Linked DNA regions of Saccharomyces cerevisiae S288C. The gene in region 3 interacts genetically with the main gene of each other region. Each region holds a gene or a part of one and is shown on either strand. Other genes may lie near its edges.

The links. Genes that interact genetically often act in the same process or in processes that back each other up.
Region 1: mutations in CEG1 (region 3) and SKY1 together harm fitness more than expected from each alone (negative genetic interaction), as found in Saccharomyces cerevisiae (2 studies listed by BioGRID).
Region 2: mutations in CEG1 (region 3) and RAT1 impair growth when combined (synthetic growth defect), as found in Saccharomyces cerevisiae (2 studies listed by BioGRID, with this or other methods).

The regions. Positions count from the first base shown.
Region 1 is NC_001145.3:698,297-702,831, forward strand, and holds SKY1 (serine/threonine protein kinase SKY1), read right to left. Parts: upstream 2,744-4,535; coding exon 515-2,743; downstream 1-514. Other genes in the region: GAS3 (putative 1,3-beta-glucanosyltransferase), read left to right, coding at 1-74; GUA1 (GMP synthase (glutamine-hydrolyzing)), read left to right, coding at 3,494-4,535. UniProt on the Saccharomyces cerevisiae protein: Constitutively active kinase, specifically and sequentially phosphorylates serine/arginine (SR)-type shuttling mRNA binding proteins in their RS dipeptide repeats.
Region 2 is NC_001147.6:418,116-423,370, forward strand, and holds RAT1 (ssRNA exonuclease RAT1), read right to left. Parts: upstream 3,536-5,255; coding exon 515-3,535; downstream 1-514. Other genes in the region: phospholipid-translocating ATPase RSB1, read right to left, coding at 4,553-5,255. UniProt on the Saccharomyces cerevisiae protein: Possesses 5'->3' exoribonuclease activity. Required for the processing of nuclear mRNA, rRNA and small nucleolar RNA (snoRNA) precursors.
Region 3 is NC_001139.9:264,492-268,072, reverse strand, and holds CEG1 (mRNA guanylyltransferase), read right to left. Parts: upstream 1,929-3,581; coding exon 549-1,928; downstream 1-548. Other genes in the region: mitochondrial 37S ribosomal protein mS29 RSM23, read left to right, coding at 1-350; DNA-binding E3 ubiquitin-protein ligase SNT2, read left to right, coding at 2,214-3,581. UniProt on the Saccharomyces cerevisiae protein: Second step of mRNA capping. Transfer of the GMP moiety of GTP to the 5'-diphosphate terminus of RNA via a covalent enzyme-GMP reaction intermediate.

The sequences.
Region 1 (4,535 bases), on a different chromosome or scaffold from region 3:
ATATTGTTAATGTTTCCTTTAGTCAGTCTGGATACCTTGCATTATTTGCAGGTCTGATTTCTGCTCTACTCTGAGCTGCTCATGTATTTTTTTGAAACATCCATGGACTTGTTTTCGTTTTCAACCGTTTTATTTTTTTGTGTTCTTTTATCTTAACATATGTAAAACAATTTATATGTTTTTAAATAGTAAACTTTTCATCAAAAACGCTTAGGTATCACACCCATCATCCTTCACCAGGACAACCATTGGGTGCAAAAAATAAAATCAAAAAATGTCGAGTATGGATTCAAAAACCGCTAAAGATAAAAGAAAGGAGAATCAGCATAATCTTTTGTTGTTACTTCAGAATATTATACTAGGTGTTACAAATTTACTTTGGTAAAAAAAAAAAAAAAAATTGCAAAAAAACTACTGAAAAATAAACAACTGAGCAGAGAACTAAAGTATGCAAAAAAGAGGTTAAACAGAAAAAAAAGTAAAAGGCAAGGGCAAAATAAAGGTATAAAGGTAATCAATGTCTTTTATGATCGCGGACTTCTTCAAACCATCCGGGGATATCGGAACCACTCCCGTACAACTCTCTATCAGGTACCCGAATCTCTTCCATACCCAAGGTATCCTTGAGCCATGGATGGTTAACCAAGCCACCTGCATCAGCTCTTTTCCTTGGGTCTAGCTGTAACATAGGCGACAAAAAATCAGATATTTCCTTGGCTTCGTCCTTAGAAAACTTATATTTTTCAGTTAAAACATCTTCTAAGGGCCAAAATTTCAATTTCGAGATATTTCTTAAAAGCCCTCTTGAATTGAAGAAAGTTCTTGTATATTTGCCGTTCCTCAAAAGGTATGATGGTAATTCTCCCAATAACTCGATGATTTGTGCAATATGGTCATCATCCTTAGTGTAGGAATGACCTTCGTCCGGTTCGAAAAGAAAATCTCCGGTAATCAATTCAAAAATTAGACAAGCAGTAGACCATATATCTGCACCACAACCCCAAGGGGCGCCTAGTAACACCTCTGGTGATCTGTATTCTCTTGTCTGTATAGAATTCGTGTAATGTTCGTCATACCAACAAGCATTACCTAAATCAGCAATCTTGATCTGAATCAAATTTTCTGGGGAGTTGATATCGGTACTGACGTTTGAATTTGAATCCATAGTATTAGAAATATATGGACCATTTGTATCGGAGCTTTGTGATATATTGGAAATATCAAATGTAGATAAAGAGTCTGCCAGCTGCTCTTCATGCAAAGGTGTGTTCATTATGTCCTCGTTATTATTGTTGTTACTGTTGTTATTGTTGTTATTTTTATTTTTACTATTATCATTATTGTTGTTATCATTACTGTCTTCATTTATGAACATCCTGGTCACAGAATGTGGTACTGAATTTAAGAAACTATTGTTGCTATTCTTAATGCCTATGCCATTATTAATACTGTTATTATTGATGGAAGATGGAATGTTCCTATTCCCAGATACGGAGGAAAAGCTATTGTGACTACTACCACAAAAGTGCGCCCTCATTTCAAAGAAATTTGATGAACTAATTGGGGAAGGTAATGGTTGCGACCCTGTGATAATTGTATGACGTCTAGGTCTTCTAAAGCATCTTTTTGACAAGTCCTTCTCTATAGAACGAGATTTGGAATTTGAGCTTGAGCCGCAGGGCATACTTGTTTGGCATTCTGCCCATTTCTCATCACTGCTATCGTTCGCGGTAATATCAGAAGACCGCGAAACGTGCCTCTGCAACCTTTTTGCCTCTCTCTTCTGTTTATCCAGTGCCTCGACCATTTGAACGATACCCTCAACATCTCCAATCTCCATCAACACGTTTTCTGGTTTAATATCTGTGTGTATAATACCACACCGCCTATGCATGTAATCAAGACCAAGCAGTAACTGCTTCGATATTTGCTTGACATAAATCAATGGAATGCCCCTATGTTCATACTTCTTTATCAAAGCCAGTAAGTTCTCGCCGAGGACTTCAAATACCATAACCACATGGACGCCATTGGGGCCCTTATGGTTGAAATGATCTAGCAATTTCAAAATATGATTAGCCCCCATGGAATCCTCCTTTGTATTATCGGCGTCATTCACTCTTTGCAAAAGCTTAATTTCGTCTTCAGCAGCTTCTGTGTAAACTTTGTCGCCCCGAACAATCTTCATAGCAACGTGAGTGTTGTTTACCATATCCTTTGCCAACCAAACGGTGGAGAAGTGGCCCCATCCCAGCTTTCTTACTAAAATGTAGCGTGCATCCTTATAGGGCTCGCCCTTAAAGGCAGGGTGGTACCCACCCGGCCTGTAATCTTTCAAAGACTCTTCGTTCCTTTCGTCACATGATGAGATAGAGGAATCTGAATCCAAATCTGAGTCTGATTGTGGCCCCGAATCCGATTGGATGGACACATGCGATTCAACGCCGCTATCTGGTTTTTTCTTAATGCTCTTTGTAGAAAAATCTTCTGTCTTCGAGGAAGTATCCTCTTGTACAGTACCGTTGGCACTAGAGGATGACTTGGAAGTCTGCAAGGCCAAAGACAGTTTAGACTTCGTTGGAGCAGGCGCCTTCTTCATCATGTTATAATCCCTTTGAAAGAAATTCTTCTTCGCTTCCTGCGAGCTTGTTGCTTCCTCACATGAAATGCTCGCATCCGTACTAGTGTCAGCCAAATGAGCGCTTTTAGTCACAAACCCAGGATAGTTAATTGATGAACCCATTAATGTCTACACTTCTTCTTTACTCTATCTCTTCAACCTCAAAAGGGGGTGTCTATTTATACCAAAAAACACAATTATTTCTCAGCGCCAGGTGATCTAACAATTTTGAATCAGTTTTCCAATCTCTATTAACTTGCCAGCTACAAATAGATCCCTCTATATCCTGTGACTTCTCTATAGCTCTTTCATAGCCCACACTCATTGTTTATTCTCTTTCAAATAAATAACGACGATAAGATTTAGAAAAATAGAAAAAGAAATTAGAAAAAAATCCGGAAATAATATAGGCTCGTCCGTAACGATTTAATATCACGTGGATAGTGATATAATTATGAGGTGTTGCCAAATAGAACCTTTAATTATGTTTAACAGCGAAAAAACAAGGTTGTCAAGTAGCCGACTCATTTCTTCGTGACGTTGGTGACAGGAATATGCTTTCATCCTCTCGCTCCCCTACAATGGCTTCGGTTCCCGACATTTTGACTCTTTTCATGCCGTCATTTCTTTTTCTTGCTTGCAGGAAATGAAAATTTTTTTTTTCTTTGGCGATGAGCATCGAGAAAAAATATTTCTTTTTTTTATCATTTTTTCAGTTTCATTTTCATTTCACAGTTATAAAACATTAGTTGAGTTATAGTTTCGGTCACGGTAGTCTCTAATTAGCTTGCGTTCGTTGTAGTTTAACTTCCCTGGGTCATTTGGTAGGTAATATCTATATTCTAAAATAAACTAACGACATCAATATTCACAATGGCTGCCGGTGAACAAGTTTCTAACATGTTTGACACTATCTTAGTGTTAGACTTTGGTTCTCAATACTCTCATTTGATTACCAGAAGATTAAGAGAGTTTAACATCTATGCTGAGATGTTGCCATGCACTCAGAAGATCTCTGAGTTGGGCTGGACTCCAAAGGGTGTCATTCTTTCTGGTGGTCCATATTCCGTATACGCTGAAGACGCTCCACACGTAGACCATGCTATCTTTGATTTGAACGTTCCAATCCTGGGTATCTGTTACGGTATGCAAGAATTGGCTTGGATTAATGGTAAACAAGTTGGTCGTGGTGACAAGAGAGAGTACGGTCCTGCCACTTTGAAGGTGATTGACGATTCCAACTCTCTATTCAAAGGTATGAACGACTCTACTGTCTGGATGTCTCACGGTGATAAATTGCACGGCTTGCCAACTGGTTACAAGACCATTGCCACCTCCGATAACTCCCCATACTGTGGTATTGTCCACGAAACTAAGCCAATCTATGGTATTCAATTCCACCCAGAAGTTACACATTCTACCCAAGGTAAGACTCTTTTGAAAAACTTCGCCGTTGATTTGTGTCACGCTAAGCAAAACTGGACTATGGAAAACTTTATCGACACTGAAATAAACAGAATCAGAAAACTGGTCGGTCCAACTGCTGAAGTCATTGGTGCTGTTTCCGGTGGTGTTGATTCTACTGTTGCATCCAAATTGATGACAGAAGCCATCGGTGATAGATTCCATGCCATCTTGGTCGATAACGGTGTTTTGAGATTAAATGAAGCTGCTAACGTTAAAAAGACCCTTGTCGAAGGTTTAGGTATCAACTTGATGGTTGTCGATGCTTCCGAAGAATTTTTAAGTAAATTGAAGGGTGTCACTGACCCAGAAAAGAAGAGAAAGATTATTGGTAACACATTTATCCACGTCTTTGAAAGAGAAGCTGAAAAAATTAAGCCAAAAGATGGTAAGGAGATTCAATTCCTGTTACAAGGTACTCTTTATCCAGATGTCATCGAATCCATTTCTT
Region 2 (5,255 bases), on a different chromosome or scaffold from region 3:
CAAGGAGGAAGTGTAAGATGTGCTTTCGTGACTTGAGCGAAGGGGTTGGCGTTGTATAGCATGAACTTCCCAATATGTTGCATTCATCCCTGGATGATAACAGACCAAAGACCAAATTTGATTTTAAGTTTAGGAACTTAGAAAAAAAAGGTAGTGCCGTATTCGAAACTTTCGCCGTGGACTGCCTCTCTTTTCAAAAAAGAAGAACAGACCATGCTTTTTCTCCTGGATCTGGAAGAAAAAATACACGAAGCGTATAAATCAAAATAGAGTTCGGTCTATTGGCTTACAAGGATTTCGCTATTTTACAAGAGGACGTATATTCATATATTCATGCTTCAGCATGATTTTCTCTTAACTTAATATGTTCCATTTTTTGTTATAAAATATTACTGTTCGTCGTTTGTAAGAGCAGACACTATTATCTTAAAAGAGCTTTTTTTTAATTGTATGAAGATTTTATAAATTTGCGAAAACCTAAATTTACCATAAAATAAAATGCGCACGAGTAGTTCTAACGCCTATTTGCTCTTGAATTGTCATACCGACTTTGCTTGTTATTCCGAGAGTAGCTGTTGCCGCTGTACTGTCCACTATTTCTATTTCCGGAATAGTTATTGTTCCTGTAATTTGAATTTTGTCTGTAATTATTGTTTCCACCATCATACCTGCTATTGTTGAAGCCGGGTTGACTGTTGTAGCTATTCCTACCATAGTTGTGGGCGGGTTGGACATTATTTCTACTGAGCTCAGCAAAATAAAAGAATGCTCGATAGCCACCAGTTCTTGGTTTGTACTGAGTAATACCCTTTGGTCCTACTGGAACAATATTTTGCTTCAAATCATTACCAAAGTTCCAGCGACGGGAGTAATTTTGGTTATTATACTTGTACATTATGGAATCAAGGTCATATGCTGTTAGTACCGGTTCTGACGGAATGAACCCGTTCAGTATAATAGACTTATTTCTCGATGGCAACGGAATTAATCTATAGGACATCTTTAAAATCAAGGTGGTAGATAAATTTGGCAGTGACCCACCTTGAATCGGACATACAATTTTCCCATTTAATTCGAAACCTTCAACGTCCTTTGATACAATACCACTTAAACCACTCTTGAAGTGTTGAAACTTCACAACAACATTGTTGTTGTTGTTTTCCTTTGAGTATAATTTCTTCGAAAACCTCTCATAATTAGCATTCTTGTTACTTATTAATAAAACAGGTTCTCCGCGAATATTTCTTGCCCTCTCAGCATCAGAAAGTAAAGGATATTGTGCACGAACAGCTGTTAACAGTCTATCCTGATCGATGAATGGTAGCAACGCTATGCCTTGCCAGGACATCTTCTTACCATTCATATCTATGGGAAATTCTTCAGGATAAAAATCAATGATTTCAGAGTCAGGTTCAGACATCAAAGACCGGAAAATTTTTGGCAAAGCATGGCCAGATGCAGCTGGTAAAACACTCATCAATTGTTCGTAAGGTAAAAATGGAGTACCTTCTTCGAACTTTATCTCCAAGTGAGAAAACCCATGGAAATCTGTTGCCAGAGGAGCATAATGGTACGGATAGAACCAATTCCAAGAGGCACAACCTTGATAGTAATACATTAGTACCCAGGCGACCCCTTCGATATAGCATTTTACCATATCTTTTCTTAACTGTTCAATATCTTGAGGAGTAACGTGAAATTTAGCTGTGTAATATCTTTCGTGGTAACCAGGTTCGAATAGTTTGACAAATTCATCTGTATCAAAGACCCCATTTTTGGGACCTTCGCTGACATTCACTGTGCTGTGGACTGGTGAATCTCTTGATACTTCTGTAGTTTCAGAGTTTTCCCTGTCGTTTACGTCAGCCACAATCTCATCTTTGATCTCTGCATCGAGATCGCACTCTGATTCCGCTTTCTCTGTCTTAACTTTTTTGCTATCCTTAGCAATTTCTTCCTCTTCATTATCCTTTTCAAGACGGTGTTTCTTATTTATTATTTTCTGTTTCATAACTTCTGCAAGGTTAAAATTAGTTTTGTTAGCCTTACTAACAGCATCATCAATTTCTTCCTTGCTGATATCTTTCATCAGTTCATTGTTCTTATCACTCTGTTGCTTAACTTTGGCGATTGCTTCTTCGTTCCCCTCGTTCGCAAGCATCAGTTCCTTTTTCAACCTTACCATATCACTGGTGGTCAAGTTCCATGAACCTTTTGCTAAATTTCCTTGTGTGTCATACATTTGCAGTTGCTCCGTAGCTACTGTAGGATGCCTGTCTTGACCTTTTGACATATTTTTCTGCGCTTTCCTTCTTTCAAAAGCTTCTTTCTTTCTGGCTTCTTGAATATGTCTAGTTTTGAAGATATCCCCCTCACGGGAGCCAAGGTGTTGCAATAGCGTTTCAACAGAAGGGAGGTTCAAGACACCGTCGCAGGTCATGTACGTTTTCAATTTCGGTAGTACTACCTTCCAAATATCCAAGAGAATATCAATACTATTTTCTCTGACATCTAAGCATGGTAAATGTGGTAAAAAGTCATTACCACAGAAAAAGCACATGAAAACCCAATCGTCGATAGCCCTTTCTAAATCAAATGTAAATGGAAGACCCGGAACCCATAACTCAGCGGACAAGTATTCCCTCAAAACATTTATGTGCAGCCACAAGAAAGGTTGTTCGGAATTTTGTTTTTGGAGAAATTGTTTTTCTTCTTCAGTCATATTTATAGTATCTTTTAAGTTATTTCTTTTCCGATTGTCTTGAGCAAAAACATCTTCTCTTAGAATTTTAAAATGTGGTTCATGAGTGGCAAGGCCCAAAAAAATTAAATCAGCATCCAAACCGTATATACAGTGCGTTGTGTTGGGATTATATTCAGGATCAGCTCTTTGAGACCTAATGAAATTCATTATTTTGTGCTCACCTTCACCTGGGACGGTGGCGTCACTGATAATCACCTGCAGGTTTTTCCAACCAGGGTCAGTGGCCAGTTTAAATGCTGTCCAATAACGGAGGGCCGCGGCAAGCTTATCCATAAATGGGGTGCCTGGAGTGATCGCATTTGAATCCCAAGTTTTCTTGTTCCTGACGGCATCATCGATTATCTCACCAACTTCTTCTCGCTGTCTCATAATTTCTTCCCTGGCTTCGTTTTCAATCTGAGCATCCCTAGCACTCCTAAATCTACGCGCTCTCTGCTGGTTCATTTTGGCACGAGGAGCAACACCATCAACAGCCATAACAAGTACCTTGCGTGGTCTAGCCATATTTAACACACGATTGGTATATTCAAAAACTGCCAAAAGCATTTCATCTTCAGTCTCTGGAGGCGGTTTGTTTTCTGGGTGCGAACATGGATGAACAATACCATTCATATCCAAATACAAGTTGTCTAACTCACCGTTTGGATTTGAGGCGGAATAATCCAACGGCAATATGACACCGTCGACTATCTGAGGTTGCTCTTCCAATACTGGGGATATGATCTTTGGATATTTTCGAGATAGCCATCTGAAAAATGACGGAACACCCATTATATTACGAAACTTGGCTGTAGCACTTCCTTGAAGAACCTGTCTCACTAATTATTACGGGATGTCTTTATGTTGTAATAGGTTCATCGATGAGGTTTGGTTTTTTATTGCCATAGCTGAAAATCTTATCTAGATACTCTCGTTACCCGACTTATCATTCCCGAGACGCTCAAATATACAACCTGATGAGAAAGTAAGGTAATATACCTCCAAATGTTCAAGATTATAAAATACATTGCAGTGCCTTAAAAACGTACTTCCGATATTATGTGATAGTAAACTTTTCGTAGTTTTTCATCAGAGATGGGGAAAGCTTTTTTGGTGAATTGATTTTACAACTACTTGTTTCAGTATACTATAAAAATCGAGTAAAATTCGTGAATCTTTGAATAGAAAAGATTTCGTGAACATATCTATAAATTAATCACTTTCTTAACCGATATAAGATTTTAGCCCGGTGATATAGGCTTCAATCAGCAGTTACGCTTTTTTGCTTTAATTTTACTGTTTATGGAGGTAAACTAACGCTCCTGCTCTCTTTCATATATCAACAGATAGGTCTGTTGATTGATTCAAATAAATTTATTTTCCTTATGTGCGCCATAATTATATGACCCTATAAGCTGCCGATAGCGGATTTTCTGTTCTCTATGGGAAACTCTGTAGTTTTCTTTTTTTTAGTTTAGTTCGTTCCCAAAAATGGAAGAACGTCAAAACAGTGATCTACATTAAGCTGAGGCGAAAACACTAAACGAGGAAAGTTATACGATGGCACAGGAACAAAATAGAAAGTATGTATGACGTTGAAGGCTGATTAAAGCATTGAAAGGGGAAAAATACTTGTGAACTAAAAAATGTACATATTACGATGTCGAAATATAAGGAAGTAAAAATGCTGTCCGGTTCTTTTGAATAGGAGAAAAAATAAACAGAACATAGTCGGGAACTTCGAGAAAAAAAGTAAGAATTGAAAAATGCATATGAACGATCAGATTGACATTCAAATTCTACGTATCACTAAAGTTTAGCCTTCTTTTTAGAGGAAAACAAGTTAGCTATTTTGGACATGAATTGTTTGAAGGTGCTAATCGGGTATTTCATGCTTGCTTGGAATTCCTCCTTTTCAATATCAAATTGTTTTGAATCCGAAGTATCTAAGATATCTTCAACATCGTCAGTATGTGGTAAAGTTTCAGGATCAACATGGCCCGGTGTGATTGGAATCGAGGTGCTTCTACCTTTAAACGCAAATCCAGGGTGGAAGATGGTCAAAGTGACCGTAGCGATGGCCATCATTAATGCATCTAAGATAATAAAATACCACTCGTGTGTGATCAGATAGCCATCCCAACCGACAACTAATTCAGCCAAACGGTAACAACAACGGGTAAAAATGGTTAGTACCGCAACGGTTATTGCCAGATTAAAATAATGAAAAACCCAACGTTTAGGTTCGAGTCTCAAAAAATGGAACTTTTCCCTGTATAAATAATCAACTTCTGTTTGCGATATCTTTAAGAGGCTCAATGAGATAGGTCTAGAATTTATGTGTTCCCATCTTACCGATATATATATACGGAAAAGGAAGTGAAACCATAACATAAGAAAGATGGCCATCGATGCAACTTGAATGGCCAAACCAGCAATGAAAACATGATTGCCGGTTGTTGTGGACGTTCCATCTGTGACCGCCACACCACACAGGCCACCGCCTACAGCT
Region 3 (3,581 bases):
CTAATGGTGAGAGTTCTACTATATTAGCTATATCCGGCGTTGACAGGACAAACAAAACTTTACCCGTGGCATTGGGCAAGATCCCAGTAGACCCCTATGTTACTAGATATCACTATGAACCGAAGTTCGTAGAATTGCTCCAAAAAGGTAATGTCACCGAATTCGAGGTTCCTAAACTGAACAAACAGGAAGTTAACGAACTAATCGATTACTACAAACAATCAAATGTTTTATTAGACAAGGATATCACAGGAAAAAAGTGGGAGAACTTGATTGACGAAAAATATTTCCTAAGTGGTAACGGTAACCCAAGAGAATTATTGAAAAGTTTAGTCCTTTCCCATAGGTGATAAGCATGCGCATATATATACATGTATATGCGTATATAACACTTTCACCCTCGCTTCTCAAAATTCTCCCATTTCTCATGTACATATAAATAGATAACTAACTGAATTAATTTAGCAAAAGCAATTGCTTTTGCTTTTCTATCTTATTCATACACAAAATTCTTACACCGATATATGTCGATACGAACACTTCTTAGCCTAATCCGACCAATCATCCTCGTCTACATATTTTGGCTCCTTATCATTACTTGGGGGCTGTGAATGGACTGGCTTAGAGGTAGATAATGTCGCATTTTGACTTTGAGACGGTAGTGGTCTCCCACTACCACCAGCCATATTTGCTCTTCTCTCGTCCCAGCACCTTTTAATATCACCAACAATTTCCTCGAGGTCCTCCAATGAAACTGAATCGTTGATACTCTCCAAAACTTTCTGGACCACCGATGTATGATTACCATTTAACTTATCATCCCTGAATCTTAACATTTCCCACGCCCCAGTCTCTTGGTTTTTTGCGCACTCTACTATTCTACCATTTAATGGCTGTTCTAGGTTCTTCAAATTTTGCCATTCCTCATCTGAAACGCTCAACTCTGCAAATTTTCTGTATGTTCTTTCTAATATTTCAAATTCCTTCCTATCGAAAGGCTGGTCGAAATGTTTTAAACGTGAATTGACATCAGCTCCGCCTTGCCAGACATATAAGCTGAAAACTGGCTTAACGTCATAATTGTAATACCACCTGTTCCGATCATCTTTAGGCAAAGAAGGATCCTCCACCATTGGGATATCTAAAATCAATTTGAAGTCCACGGTGTTTTCTTGTTCTGGCTTCCATTTTAATAACAATGAATCTTTTCCGCCGGCAGTGTAAGGTGCCTTCACAGGAGTAAATATCAGACCATCAGAAAGATGTGGTAGTTTATCTAAACTTTTAGCAACTTTTACTAATTGGTAACTGAAATCCATATGTTTCATGGAAATTTTGAACGGAAAAGTAGTACAACGATTAGGGTACGCTGCTCTTAAATCGAAGTATGGTTTAAAAAATTCTTTTCCAAGGTGGGCTAGTCTAGAACTTGTTGGTGATTGTGTGAGACATCTACCATTGATAGCAAGACAATCGAACATTAAATAACGCAACTCTTGTAATTTTGTCATTGGGTTAGTTTGTATGACAAGTTCACCATCTAATAAGGTGCCATCTTGAAGAGTCTCTAGCAGCTCTTCTTTCTTCTTTTGGGGTAATCTGGGAAACCTAAATCCATTAACCAGATAATAGTTATTTTCCCTATCAATCATAAAGCATCCTTGCTCACCCGTCACAGGATTTATCACTATAAACATCAACACCCGCAGACCATCTGTTTTCTCACAAACGTAGTAATCATGCGCAAGCAGCTTCTCTTCCACATCAGAATGCTGAAAGGACACAGGCTGGGAACCAGGGAATGTTTTCGTAGGTTTTGGGGAATTCAATAATTTACAGACCATCATCTTCAAGTCTTGCGTGACATTCCCAGGTTGAATGAGCCCAGGAATTTCCGGTGCCACTCTACTTTCCATTGCTAAAACCATATTTGTTAAATTAGCGGTCGATTCGTATTTGCTTATTCCGTTAGTTAGCTTTAGTTTAGATATAACAGATCGTATTCCACCATTTCTTTCGTTATTTTCTGCAATGAACTATTTATTATACTAGGTTACGCTTCGGAGCGACTGACCCGAACATCATGGAGAACTATATATATTTTATGATATTGCTTTCAAAAGGACTAAAAATAAAATGCCATCGAACTATCTGGTGGCAAAATTGGCCTATCGGGACATATTGAGATCATCTGCCTTTCAGCTGGTCACGCTATGCCTAAAGAAGAAGATTTCCAATTACCTAGAAGAAGAGAGGCTGCTAAAAACGTGAATTATAATGAAATGGAAATAGATACTAAATTAGTTCAACAAATACAAATAGCGGAAAAAAGTGGTGCTAAGACCAAGGGTAGCAATAGCCAAACTCCCAGGAATTGTAAAAGGACAAGCAATCCAGCTAGTAGAAACGAGAAATTCAAGTACCAAAAATTCCTTCATGATAAGAATACTTGCTGGAACTTTATCCCTACATTACCCCCTTCGTTCAGAAAGAATAGCAGATTCTCTAACATACTTGATCTAGATGATGCCATGATTGACTTGAAAAAGATGTCTCTTTTCAATACAGAATCTGTCCTTTTATCTGCGAACGACACTATTTATATGATATCAGAGCCTGCTGGCGAGCCTTATTATGTTGGCAGAGTTGTAAATTTTGTTAGTAAACCAGAATTTTCTAACACTATTCATGAAGCTATAAAGACAACATCGGTCTTCCCTGCTAAATTTTTTCAAGTTAGAATGAATTGGTTTTATCGTCCTAGGGATATTCAAGAGCACGTAAATACTTTTAACCCAAGGTTGGTGTATGCATCATTACACCAGGACATATGTCCTATTTCATCATACAGGGGAAAATGTAGTATATTTCATAAAGACGAAGTTTTTGATGTTCTTCCTAATGAGAAGGAATGCATTATACGACCCAATATCTTTTACTTTGATGAACTTTTTGACAGATATACTTTGAAATATTACAAAGTTTACAGCACGGATAAAATATTAAATAAATGGAACAGTAAGTCGCCATTTCTTTATGTTTTGAATAGGAGATTTCGTTATATCTATACAGAACCGAAGTATCCATTGGAGAACGTTTTGAAGAAATACGTTTTCCATGAACTAGAGGTAAACGAATTAAGTCCTGCAGACTACCAATGGGATAAAAGATGTCAGTTCTGTAAAGAATGGTGTATCCAAAAGGAGAGCCTTTCATGTGATGAATGCGGCGTTTGTGCACATCTATACTGTATGGATCCGCCACTTGACAGGAAGCCGAACAAAGACGTCGTTTGGACCTGCTTCAGTTGCTTACAGAAACAACAAGGTACTAAGGACTCGCATGTTAGGTTTCTAGAAGAACAAGCACTGGAACTGGATTTTATTCGCTCTGTAAGACAAAAAATTGAAGAAATTTCTAGCAAAGCTATCAAAGAGAATGTTGGTTATAATACCGAAAATTGCTGGTTTCAATACTTAGGAATATATTCCATTTCTCATATTGGTGACGCATTAAATGATTCTATGTTTTTTCCATATCCTTTCAAACCCTCTAGGGTAGGAGTGAAGTATCAATGGAAC